3 linked regions of the Schizosaccharomyces pombe genome follow. The gene in region 2 interacts genetically with the main gene of each other region. Each region holds a gene or a part of one and is shown on either strand. Other genes may lie near its edges. The genes, in order: lys3, atg8 and arg1.

Region 1 (4,066 bases), on a different chromosome or scaffold from region 2:
CTCAGCTTGGTCGTAATCTTGAGGATTCGATAATAATAGACAATTCACCTTCAAGTTACATATTTCATCCTTCGCATGCTGTTCCAATATCTTCATGGTTCAACGATATGCACGATATGGAATTAATCGATTTAATTCCATTTCTTGAACATCTTGCTCGTGTTCCAGATGTTAGTACTGTCCTTAATCTTCAGTTATAATGACTATTGGAAAATTTGTGGCTTTGCGAAGCCTTTCCATTATCTTGGTTTCTACTTCACGACGAAATTTTCATTGAACTTGAACGGTTTCTTTCTTTTTTATCTTTTATTTAATAAATTTTCATCGTTAAAAGGTCTCAAATATGGTTTCATGTTGTTATAAATGCTATTTTTCTTCATTTGGCATATGATTGATCCAGAATCAAAGATGTTTTATTGACGTTTACATGCTTTATTTCTCTTTCCCCTTGTTATGTCCGTCGACCTACGAAAACCTTGCTATTGTACATTTTACTATTTTTTAAAAGAGCGGAACCATTCTTTTTTAAGCCTTTTTGTTCTAAAATTAGATTTTTTAAGAAGTGCTACATTATGATTGTTACTAAATCTTTCCAATGCCAAAGATGTCTGTGCCTATAATTTAACTTCGTAAGGCAAGCAATAAATATTGGGGAAAGTTTCAAGATTTATATTTACCATATAGGTAAGTGGCAAATGCAGGATGAAATCCTGTTTCTTAATTATTAATCAATGACCGGCGAAAAGTATAAAGGAGGTTTGCAGAGAAATGTGTATATTATCATATTTAAATTAGTCAAATATATATTGTAACGTGAATAACAAATCAAAAGGTAGTATTATGCAACACCGCTACAATTTAACAAGTACGTGGAAAAAATGTCCAGAGCATCGAAAATGCCGTCTAAATTGTATTCTAAAGTTAATTTTTGAGAAAATAATATTCAATAATTTGGTGAAACAATATAAAGGACCCGGAACTTTGAAATTAAATAACATTTATTTTAAAGCTTTTGAACCATGGTTTCATAAAGTTTTTTAGCTCTGACCCAAACGGGAGCATTGTCGACGTCCTTCAAAGCCAAAAGACTAGGAATTAGAGCTTCACTAAATGCTTCGGAAGATTCCCTTGGCAATAAAGTAGGAAGATGATCAATAGAAATGACCTCTAAAGGAGGAGGAGTTGTGACACCTTTAACCTCAACTGTAGGATGATCAAATGTAGTGTTTACATTATAAATTGGAATAGGATTGTTAGGATTGGTAGTGTCACAGCTAACATCACAAACAACACGCAATTTACGGTTAGGTACATTTAACGACTCGACGGTACAGAATTTGGGAATAGGCATGCTCAGATAAATGCAGTTAACAAATATGTCTGATTCCGTAATTTCGGTAAAGGGACCACCCTTCTTAGTTTCATTAATGTCCCAGCGAAGAATGTTATCGAAGGGAATACCAATCTTTGATGCTAAATCGCACGCTCCAGTACCACAACGACCAAGAGCCCCAATAACCAGAATACGAGGATACTGGTTGTTATTCTTTTTCAAAGCTAAACGTACTTGACGAGCAACATGGCGAACCAAAGATTTTTCGTTGGGGAACGGACGGATAGCAGGGAATTGTTTGTTAGGATGCAATAATTGATGTGCCCAAACTAAACATGAGATAGCTGATCCAGCAAAACCAGCGTGGTAACCAAAAGCGGCAACACGTCTGCCATTGTCATCTTGCAAAAATTCCAAATCATATAGAAGACCATTGCCAGCGGGGAATCGGGACAAGACTTCACGCCAACCTTCCTGGTTTTTGTAGCAATGAGCAAATTGAATATGAGTATGCTTCAAAGGACTGTTATCATTTTCCGGAAGCTCTTTGAGACCAATAATGTACGCGTCCTTAGGTGCATGTCGCCATGAGCCCTCAGGAACCATGGGGAAACCAAGGCGCTCAAATTCTTTGTCCTTGAAAGCACGTTGGGAAGAGCGCTCAATGGTAATTTGAAATCCAGCATCGGCGAGTATCTTGGCAGTTCTAGGAGTCAAAGCACTGCGCTCTTCTAAAGGTTTGGTTTCAGCACGTAACCAAAGATGAGGAGCAACCATTTTGGAACAGAAAATTAATTAAATATATATTTTTAAATCGAAAAAGTATTTCAACGTTTTTAAAAACTTCCCTTTCTAAGTTAGTCAAAAAAATTTAAACTAACAAAATGAAGACGTGGCGAAGGAGACCAAAAACTTAATCAAATAAGTTTATATACTGCAAATTGGCAAAATAATATAGATCAATCTCGATATAAATGAGATCAAATTTGATGCGGTCAATTTACAGATCAGCAATGATATGAGCAGAAGGGATCTTGATGGATCTAATACGCTACACAGGTTCAGTGGCAGTCACGTTAGCTACCTATCCTAGGCACAATTCACTTGATTTTTACTAGTATGCTTTTAAATAATGAATAATTTTAAAGAAAATGATGAAAAAAGCACTTTTGGTCAGTATGCGGAACTAGATAAAATACTCGACTTGAAAAAAGGGATTCCTGAGGATCCGTGTAGTTTACAGTATTACTTTGACCAAATGGCCATGTGTTTAACAGTGTTCTCACAAATGAATCATTACTATCGTTATGGTGAATACAACAGATGTAAGGGAAATTTTAAAGACTTTAAATGGTGTCTGTCAACCAAGTCGAAGGCTCACGAAGAGGCTCAAGAAGGGCTTCGTAAGCGGCGTCTTCAGCAGTGGATGAAGTTTAGGCAAGGGCCGAATAGTGAAGACATTTGGAAGATGCGTACTTCTCCAAAAAGTAGTGAATAAGTTTTTAACGTTTCGTGCTGTGTTCACCAAACGTCGATATCAATTCTTACGAAGGCATCCATTTGTTGCGTATAACATTGGGGGAATAGCATATTTGATGATGTCTTGGATGTAAAGTTCCTGTATATCCTAGTCTGCTTAACCTTTGAAACTAATTGTTTATAGTTGGCGGGGTACTTCTATTTAATTTACCTTCCAAGTAAACTCTGAGTTCTCTTTAATTTTATGAGTAACTAATTAAACGAACAACAAATTGTTGCTTTGATTTTACAACATTGTTTGGCAGCAGGTTGATTATTTACTCAGGTAAAGATTGCTGATAAACTCGAAGGTGTTGACATCTAAAGTATGGATTAAAGCGTATATGACTTGATGAACCTGTTGATGAAACTTGGCGAATAACTTATGAAATTTGGCCTATGTCGGTGTTAAAACCTTTTTGCATTTGGAAATGACATACTAAATAATTAATACGCAAAATAATTTTGAATACAATGCAATCATGTTTTGTAGATTACGGACTAAAAATCATTTAAAAAAATCAGTTTTACGGAAAGATTGTGTAAATTTTGATCGCATAATGAGCAAGTTTCATAAATAGGTATAACATTCAAACAAGCATATGCGTTTCTTTAATGAAACTATAGAACAAAGTTTCCTTTTTTTAATAAAATTTTTCGACCAATTTCAGAAGGACGAATATACACATGTATGACATACTTTTCGAGTTAAACATTGAAGCAAATTTTTAGTACTCGAACATACAATATTTATCAGCACTAATTTTTTGAACTAGATGCTCTGTTAAGAAAAGTAAAAATAAATCTTTTTTATCTCTATTTTTTTTGTTGATTAGTACTGGTGTAATTACAGTTCATTATTTATCCACTATATCTTAGCCAACTCAAATTTGAATTTATCGTTGCATCTACCTACTTTTACCTTGTAACTGCAACTTTTCTAAATGAACATATTTTGATAAAATAACAATAACACTTCTATCATTCCTTCTGCTCAGACATTAAAAAAATGGATTACTATGATATTGATAGTATCTTGTCTGAAAATCAAAAGGTTCCATGTACTAGTACAGTTTCCATTCCAGGACTAGGCCATGAAGGGCGTATGGTTAGTGAAGTTTATAAAAATAGAACTTGACTTTCTAAACAGTTTAGGTTCCTACGGGCTCTAAAGTTGAACTTCCTTTTTGGCTGGCAGAGGTTTTAGCAATTAAG
Region 2 (3,527 bases):
AGTCTTGTTAACCTTCAAATCAGAAATCAGTAAACGACGCAAGCAACGTAAAGCTCAAGAAATGAGAGAAGAAAGGTATCGACAACGGGCTGAACGTGATACAGAGGAACAGATATACTCCGAGTTAAATATGCAGAGACCTGTGCCAAAAACCGTAGTGCATGAGGACCCTGCTGAAGCATTCCCCACATTGGGAAGTCATCATCAATTTGAATCTACCGATGAGGTTAATACAGATGAGTCTACCTTATCTACTGCAAAGACTGTTTGGGGAACAAGAGCTCTTGCCAATATTCAAAATGACACCGATGATCAAGACGATCTTGATGGTTGGAAAGTTGACTGGGACAAAGTTGCTCAATTATCTGCACCTTCCAAAAACTCAAAAAACAAAAAAAAGAAGAAATTAGTTTTATTATCAACAGGTGCCGCCCATCGATAAAGATGGAGCATTCTCAGTGATGAAATGCTACTGAAATTTTTGAAATGCAGGAGTGGGCTTTATTTTGAAATATAGTTATAACACTTGTTGCTTGAATTATGAAAGTTTACGATTGACCAATTTTTTGGGGCATGTGAATAGTATTCGCTATTATGACAACCAGTTAATGTAAAAAAGGATAGAATCAGCTGATGATATATATCTACTTATTATTTATCAACATTTTAATATTATTAGAAAATCAAAATCAATTTTTTTAATTGATGGTTTTTATTAATTAACAAGGTAAAATAACTTTGTTGTCAAAGCAAACTAGTCATAAGCGTTCATCACATCTATTGTAAGACAAATCTGAAACATCCTTAAAATCGTGGTGGCTAACCTGAGAATGATATGTATAAGACGCGCGTAAAATAATCATAATGCAAAAGCAAAGAAACTTGAAAGCTAAAAAGCTAGAAATGCAGAGTAAAAAAAACATAAAGAATCATTCAACCATTGTCCACAAACAATTTTGCTGATCACAATTAAAAGAAGGCGGGGCCATCTTAAAACAGGCAAATTGTTGATCTAAAAAGGAAACACTGTTCCAAATGTATTTTCTCCTGAATACGTGATATACAAAAAGCCGTCCTCACTTTTATGCTCTTCGTATATCGTTGACATCAAGGCCGCTGTCGGGGGCAAGATTTCATCAATGAAAATAAAGATGGCCTTCTCAGGAGAAAGTTTTATCCGTTTGCGAATAACATATACAAATTGACCAACTGTAAGGTCAGATGGAACGAGATATTTCTTTTTATCTATTGCAGCAATATCAGATTTATCAACTTTCTCGCAAATAACCTGTTAAGTTAGCAGTTAAGTTTAAAACGTAATTTGTATTTTTGAAAGAAAAAGGTCAGACTTGTAACAATGGATTCACTTTTGATGACAAAAACAATGGGTGTTGTTCAATTCACCACTATTTTGCTCTGAAACCTGTTCTCTTTGACCACCAGACTCTACTTACAGGTATTCGATCGGGATATTTTTCCCGGATTCTTTGAGACTCTGTTTTTCGTTTCTCTGATTATTAATTAGCCTACTAGTTCCAGGTATTCTACAATGCTGTCCAAAAAACAACTTCTATAAGTTTTTGACACATACCAAAAGAAAAGTCGTCCTTGAATTGAGAACGCATGAGAACTCTCAAACTTCTTGCTTGAAGTAGTAACTCCTCTCTTCAATTGCTTCAAAATTCGGTGTTCTTTGTAAACGGTGCGTGAGTTATGTGGTATACGGTCTTGGATAAATAAGCGTACCCTTGGGTAACGTATACAGAGATATGAAGCAATCTTATGATACTATGATAAGTTACCTTATTTCGTAATAAATAAATACTTTACGAATCTTAAGCAGTACACAATCAAAAGGAATTTTTACTACTTCTTTATAGTATGATAGCCATAATTGGTATATACTCAATCCTTGGTACAACAAAAGTCACAACTCTTTTAGGAAGAAAAGCAAGAATGGAAATAAAGACGTTGTGTAAATAAATAATAGCACGCTTAACACGTAAATACCTTCCAAAAAAGGTTAGGAAATAGAATTTTGCAAATAATTACTATTTCTATCTTTCATTAAATAATCAAACCATTAGAAAAATAGTAGTGTTTGATGTAAACAAATAAGCGCTTCTTGAATTATTTGCTTAACATTGTGCTAAAAGTTGCTACAGCAACCAAAATCTAGCGAGTCTTGCTATTAAACCCCACCATAACTATTTATTTATCCTTTACCACACAACGAAGCTTTTAGTTTGTGAAAACAAAAATGAAGTTGTTCTATTTCTCTTTACTTTTTACTCTTTTCTTTGGGCTTATCTCTGCCAACCGTGGCCCCAAAGTTACAGACACAGTGTATTTCGACTTGCAACAAGGTGATGAGTTCCTTGGAAGAGTTACCATTGGATTGTTTGGTAAAACTGTTCCCAAAACAGCCGAAAATTTCCGCGCATTAGCCACCGGAGAAAAGGGATTTGGATATGAAGGATCTATTTTCCATCGCGTTATTCCCAATTTCATGATTCAAGGTGGTGATATTACGAAGGGTGATGGTACTGGTGGAAAATCAATTTATGGCAGCCGTTTTCCTGATGAAAACTTTAAGCTTTCTCACCAACGTCCCGGTTTGCTTAGCATGGCTAACGCTGGACCCGATTCCAATGGATCTCAGTTTTTCATTACTACAGTTAAAACACCTTGGTTAGATGGACACCATGTTGTTTTTGGTGAAGGTAAGAATTCATATTGTAGTTGTATATGTTTTATAAAAGTGACTATTTGTTTTCTTTTTCCTTTTTTTTGTTTGCTAATACTAATTTTATCAGTCCTTTCTGGTTACGATATTGTCAAGAAAATTTCCAAAGCTGAGACTGACAACCGTGATAAGCCTCTTGAAGATGTAAAAATTATCAAATCTGGGCAGTTGTCTCAAGAAAATGTTGAAGATGACGGAACAGATGAATTGTAATCCCTACTTTCTATTTATGAAAGTCATCAACATCTAGTGTTTATAAGATTTACTTGAAAAGCAATGATTTTACATTCTGTTAACATAAACGTTTATCATTGGAAGGATCACTTCTTGTGGTAGTTTGTTTGCATTTTCTGACAGCCATAGTTGTATAACTAATATACGCATAAAGAATGCGATTTTAACAAGTTTTCAATTGAATGAATATAGAACTCTACGTATATTATCCAATTTAGCAAGCGTAATAGCAATGCTGCAATTCTGATAGTAAGTATTGACAACAAACGCGAAGCTTATTAGCTGCTTACTATTTTGTTATGTTTTATCAAAAAGAACTCAAAGACATTATTTTTTCCTATCAGCTGGCTGATATTACTAGCACGTTGTGTAGTTGTTTACCCTATGGGCTCTTAGAAAAGCGGACTTAAGGAATTTCGAGAGTCGGAAGCTGTCCACCGCAAACATTTGGGTAAAATCGGTTTTTGCGTCAATTGTGAGAAATCAATTTCAAACTAATCGTAATGTTTGACTCAACAAAAAAATCACTGCATTCGATGTCGGATTC
Region 3 (4,332 bases), on a different chromosome or scaffold from region 2:
AGTGTTAGAAACACTTTCAATGCTAGTTTTAGTGTTTTTTGGAATCCAATTAATGGATGAGGCGCTCGAGGTAGATGAAAAAGATCCCCTCCCTACCATCTTTAGTAATATTTTTGGAAATGTACTGAGGGTATCCAAGAAATTTGCTTTTAGTTACGCGAAATGCGATTCTTCAAAATAAGCATGAGATGATATTCATTGTTCAATCATTATAAAATGATTAAACTTACTTAAAAAAATGATATTTTTTAGAAAGATAAAAAATTTTGTTTATTTTTGAATATGGTGGTATTTTGCTAAAGTATCGATGTGCGCCTTAAATTAAGATAAAATATAGAAACGAAAAATTGATTAAGAATTCCTTATAACGATATCGTTCTAATGTGAATTGAATGAATAGCATGTTGATATAATAATTGTATGCCAAAGAAAAAAATAGTTAATGCTAAAAGAAAACATGGAATGTTATTTGCTATATAACTTTTTAAAAGTTAGTAATAGAAAACGCAGTAAAAAAACATTGATTTTGTGAATTACTATCATTTGACAGAGTATTTACGGTACATATTACGACAATTCAGTTTAGTAGATGAAAAACAACAATATATATCTAATTTTCTAACAAAAAATGTAAACAAAATTGATTATGAAAAGAAAGGGAATAACGAAAACCAGTATTTACAATGTAAAGCTTCCAGCTAAGCTTTTCGTAACCCCCCTATCAAAAAATTTTTTGGTTGGCAAATGAGAGCAAGGTTAATATATGTTTTCGAGGAACAAGATTTCTCGTAATAATCACTTTTTATCGCACTATATAACCAATCCATTCAATGACCAAGTCTACGAAAACATACACTTTTACTTACTTAAAGCCTTCAAAGTGCTCTCCATGATATCCAAACCCTTAGCAATAACCTCATCTTTAACATTCAAACTAGGAAGGACACGGGTGTTGTTGTTTCCACCTGGTAAGAGTAAAAGACCTTGTTGACGAGCAAGCTCAATAAATTTAGCAGGGGGCTCGGTAAATTGCAAACCAAGAAGAAGACCACGACCAGCATATCCACGAATAAGATTAGGGTATTTGGCAACAAAGTCATCAAAACGTGAAGTAAGAGCCTTGTGTTGCTTTCTAACGTTTTGTAGAATCTTGGATGACCCTAATTCATTAACACAGAATGTGCCTACACGGCAAGCAACAGGATTACCTCCGAAAGTACTGCCATGTTCACCAGGGTGAATTTCAGCAGCGATCTTACTGGAGACAATGGTGGCGCCGATAGGTAGACCATTAGCCAAAGGTTTGGCAACTGTGATAATATCGGGACTAGCGACATCCTTAACGATACTATGGGCCCAAAGATCACCGCTGCGACCAAGTCCGCATTGAATTTCATCATAGATTAAAGAAGCACCAACCTTATCACAGGCCTTGCGCAAAGCAATCAAAAATTCAGGCTTGGCAGGACAAATACCACCTTCACCTTGAACGGGCTCGACAATAACAGCCGCAGTTTTGTCATTGACAAATTGCTCTATGGATGCAGGGTCATTATAGACGGCTTGGACGACATCAGGAAGTAATGGTTGGAAACCACGTTTATATTTGGGGTTCGCAGTGATACTAAGAGATCCCAAAGAACGGCCGTGGAAAGAGTTATTAAAGTAAACAATTTGACTCTTCCCTTCTCCATACTTCTCAAACGCTGCCTTACGAGCGAACTTCAAGGCTGTCTCATTGGCCTCAGTACCACAATTGGCAAAGAAAATTTTTGTGGGGCCAGCAATACCGCTATTTTTTGCCAAAGAATTATTAATGACATTAGATAGCTCAATGGCAGGCTCGTTGTAGAAAAGGTTGCTACTATGGACTAATTTGGAGCATTGATCAGCGGCAAGTCTAGCAACTTCAGGATGAGCATGACCCAAAGATGTAACAGCTACGCCAGAGGTGAAGTCAATGTATTTACGACCTTCCTTGTCAAACAAATAGGAGCCCTCACCTTTAGCAGCTACGACTGGATAGCGTGCATAAACTGATATAATATTCGCCCCTTCCTTCTTGATAATATTGCAACTGGTTGTATCAGGAGTTGGATCTTTGTGGGTAAGCTAAACTTGGTTAATAAGCAGTTTAAGAAATATTAAAATTAGTACTGTATGAGGCAGTATGAAAGCACAAATGAAGATTTATTTTGTTGGGTCAGTAAGAAGCATTCTCAACATCAATACTTGTCTAAAAACAAGAGCAAAGTACAGAATTCTCGAAAACAATCAGAATTAGATGATAGTCTAATTATTTGCCATCGTATGTTCAGTTGCACTTACAATGCATACTCTATCAACAAACTTGTACTTACGCTGACAAATCGACGAAAGGCGATTTGGGAACCAGACGAACGAACAGAGAGAAGTGATCGTCTTTGAAACATTGTAAAGCAGTTACGGGCTTATTAGGGGGGTTTGGTTCTGGTTATGTGTTTTTATACTGATATCGGAAGTTCATCGTAATCGTGACTGATTTAGCGAGATTTAAAACACATCAATATTTTCATGACAGTCGTCTAATCTATGTCGGTTATCTTTATCGAATTGATTTAGATTGATGAAAAATTAAGCCATGACATTGTCAAAAGAAATTCCATTCACAAGACCACCTTTCATGGCTGTACGCACACGAGATGCAAATCCTTGAGGGTCTTTATGCAAATCAGCCGCCGCCTCTAAAAGATATCGTTTGTTAGTATAGTTAAATAAATCTAGAAAATTTGTTAAGGAGCAAACCAGATTTCTTATATTAAAATTGCTTATCATAATCATTGTCCTCAGTAAAGAACCTTATAAATCCCATAATAAAGGATCGTAGAAAAAATGAGTATCAAATGATAGTTAAGAGATGAATAATCATTTCCTTGTAATGCAATAACAAGAAATAGTTCATTGCCCCCCAAAAAATTGTAATTAACCTACCTTTGTTGAGTGGATCTTCTGCGTTTGGTGACAAGAATAAAAATTGCAATCCAACCAAAATAGAATTCAAATTCAACACTGGATTCCAATCCTGACGCAGAATATTGAGGCATACGTTTCCCTCAATATCGATATTTGGGTGATAGATCTAACAGTAGGTCAGAACGAAAGGGTTCAAAACATGTTATAATGGTTATTTTCTTAAATGCAAAAAATATACCATAAGCTGCAACTCTAATTTAGAGCATGACTGACATACTTTGTTTAGACATTTAACCTTAGGAGGATCATGAGGATAATTATCGTCGATTTGGATTCGAAATTTAAATTTCCCACCCTTGTAATACCCTTTTCATGTTAATCAAAATAAAAAATAATAGTCTCAAAAAGTCTACACCAAATATTCTTTCATGCGGAATCACAAACTTACCTTCGTCAGGCCGGATTTCTAAATGTAGCACGTTCAATTTTATAGGATCTGGCCAGCTTGTAGACATCGTAGATGGGATTTCTAAATCTGTAACGTCTAAATTCATCGAAAATGGTTAGTTTCGAGTAAATCGCGAAAAGTTATCAACATGATGAGTCGCACCTTTTTGGATTCGGATTTGTGCTGGACTAATCCCTGACGCATTTTTCTCTTTTTGAGCTTCTTTCTTTTTTAATTCCCAAATTTTTCTCATGATTTACGCGATTCTTGTAATAGGCAGAAGGATGGAAAATGCGCTTACAATTTTGGGTATAAACAATACTCTCATACATCATTAAAAAATAGCGAAACATGTAGACACCTAAAGTGCTAATAATGTGGCATTTTATATTACCTTATTCAATTGCAATAACCAATTTTAATAAAGTCGTTACTCTACGCAAGCATTCAACAATATTACGTACTGGAACACTGCTATGTAAAGTTATATACAGACATCGCAGGATGTCGTAAATTTAGGGAATGGGAAACGGTTATCATAGTAATGAAAAATAGTTCTCCTAATTAGAGAAGCTGATTATATTGACTTTACTTACCGAATGATTTAATATATTCCTTTACTATTAATTCTAAAAAAACCCAGACTTACAACCTAGTCGTTAAATTGTAGGAACCGACTACAACTTCGACAGCTGTTTCAAAGCATTTGAAAAACTTACAAAGTGTTTAAGATTGAATCTTTTTTTTAACCTGTACTATATTTTTCTCTTGTAATTAGCTCTATTTTCCTTTTCACTATGCCATTTTTGAAACCTTCAAAGGTTTCACTTAAACGAATTCTCCAAGGAAATCCACCCAAACCAATTGGCTTAACTGAGTATGGTCATTTGCTGAGGCTCGTTGGTCTTCGTGAAGCAGACTCTAAGGAAGAG

Evidence for each region.
Region 1: mutations in atg8 (region 2) and lys3 impair growth when combined (synthetic growth defect), as found in Schizosaccharomyces pombe (one study listed by BioGRID).
Region 3: mutations in atg8 (region 2) and arg1 impair growth when combined (synthetic growth defect), as found in Schizosaccharomyces pombe (one study listed by BioGRID).

The regions. Positions count from the first base shown.
Region 1 is NC_003424.3:528,566-532,631, reverse strand, and holds lys3 (saccharopine dehydrogenase Lys3), read right to left. Parts: upstream 2,354-4,066; 5' UTR 2,111-2,353; coding exon 1,004-2,110; 3' UTR 651-1,003; downstream 1-650. Other genes in the region: NLI-interacting factor-like phosphatase Psr1, read left to right, coding at 1-200; SPOM_SPAC227.17C (uncharacterized protein), read left to right, coding at 2,466-2,831; GINS complex subunit Psf3, read left to right, coding at 3,861-3,959, 4,007-4,065. UniProt on the Schizosaccharomyces pombe protein: Catalyzes the NAD(+)-dependent cleavage of saccharopine to L-lysine and 2-oxoglutarate, the final step in the alpha-aminoadipate (AAA) pathway for lysin biosynthesis.
Region 2 is NC_003423.3:3,683,641-3,687,167, forward strand, and holds atg8 (autophagy-associated protein Atg8), read right to left. Parts: upstream 1,731-3,527; 5' UTR 1,626-1,730; coding exon 1,592-1,625; exon of another isoform or gene 1,511-1,591; coding exon 1,455-1,510; exon of another isoform or gene 1,289-1,454; coding exon 1,013-1,288; 3' UTR 641-1,012; downstream 1-640. Other genes in the region: rnf10 (ubiquitin-protein ligase E3), read left to right, coding at 1-442; cyclophilin family peptidyl-prolyl cis-trans isomerase Cyp4, read left to right, coding at 2,261-2,723, 2,817-2,959; SPOM_SPBP8B7.26 (uncharacterized protein), read left to right, coding at 3,484-3,527. UniProt on the Schizosaccharomyces pombe protein: Ubiquitin-like modifier involved in autophagosome formation. With atg4, mediates the delivery of the autophagosomes to the vacuole via the microtubule cytoskeleton.
Region 3 is NC_003421.2:1,612,466-1,616,797, forward strand, and holds arg1 (acetylornithine aminotransferase), read right to left. Parts: upstream 2,472-4,332; 5' UTR 2,433-2,471; coding exon 2,361-2,432; exon of another isoform or gene 2,333-2,360; intron 2,113-2,332; coding exon 859-2,112; 3' UTR 582-858; downstream 1-581. Other genes in the region: Protor homolog, Bit61, read right to left, coding at 1-99; NEDD8-conjugating enzyme Ubc12, read right to left, coding at 2,614-2,723, 2,971-3,118, 3,230-3,318, 3,401-3,496, 3,563-3,653; protein Gta3, read left to right, coding at 4,198-4,332.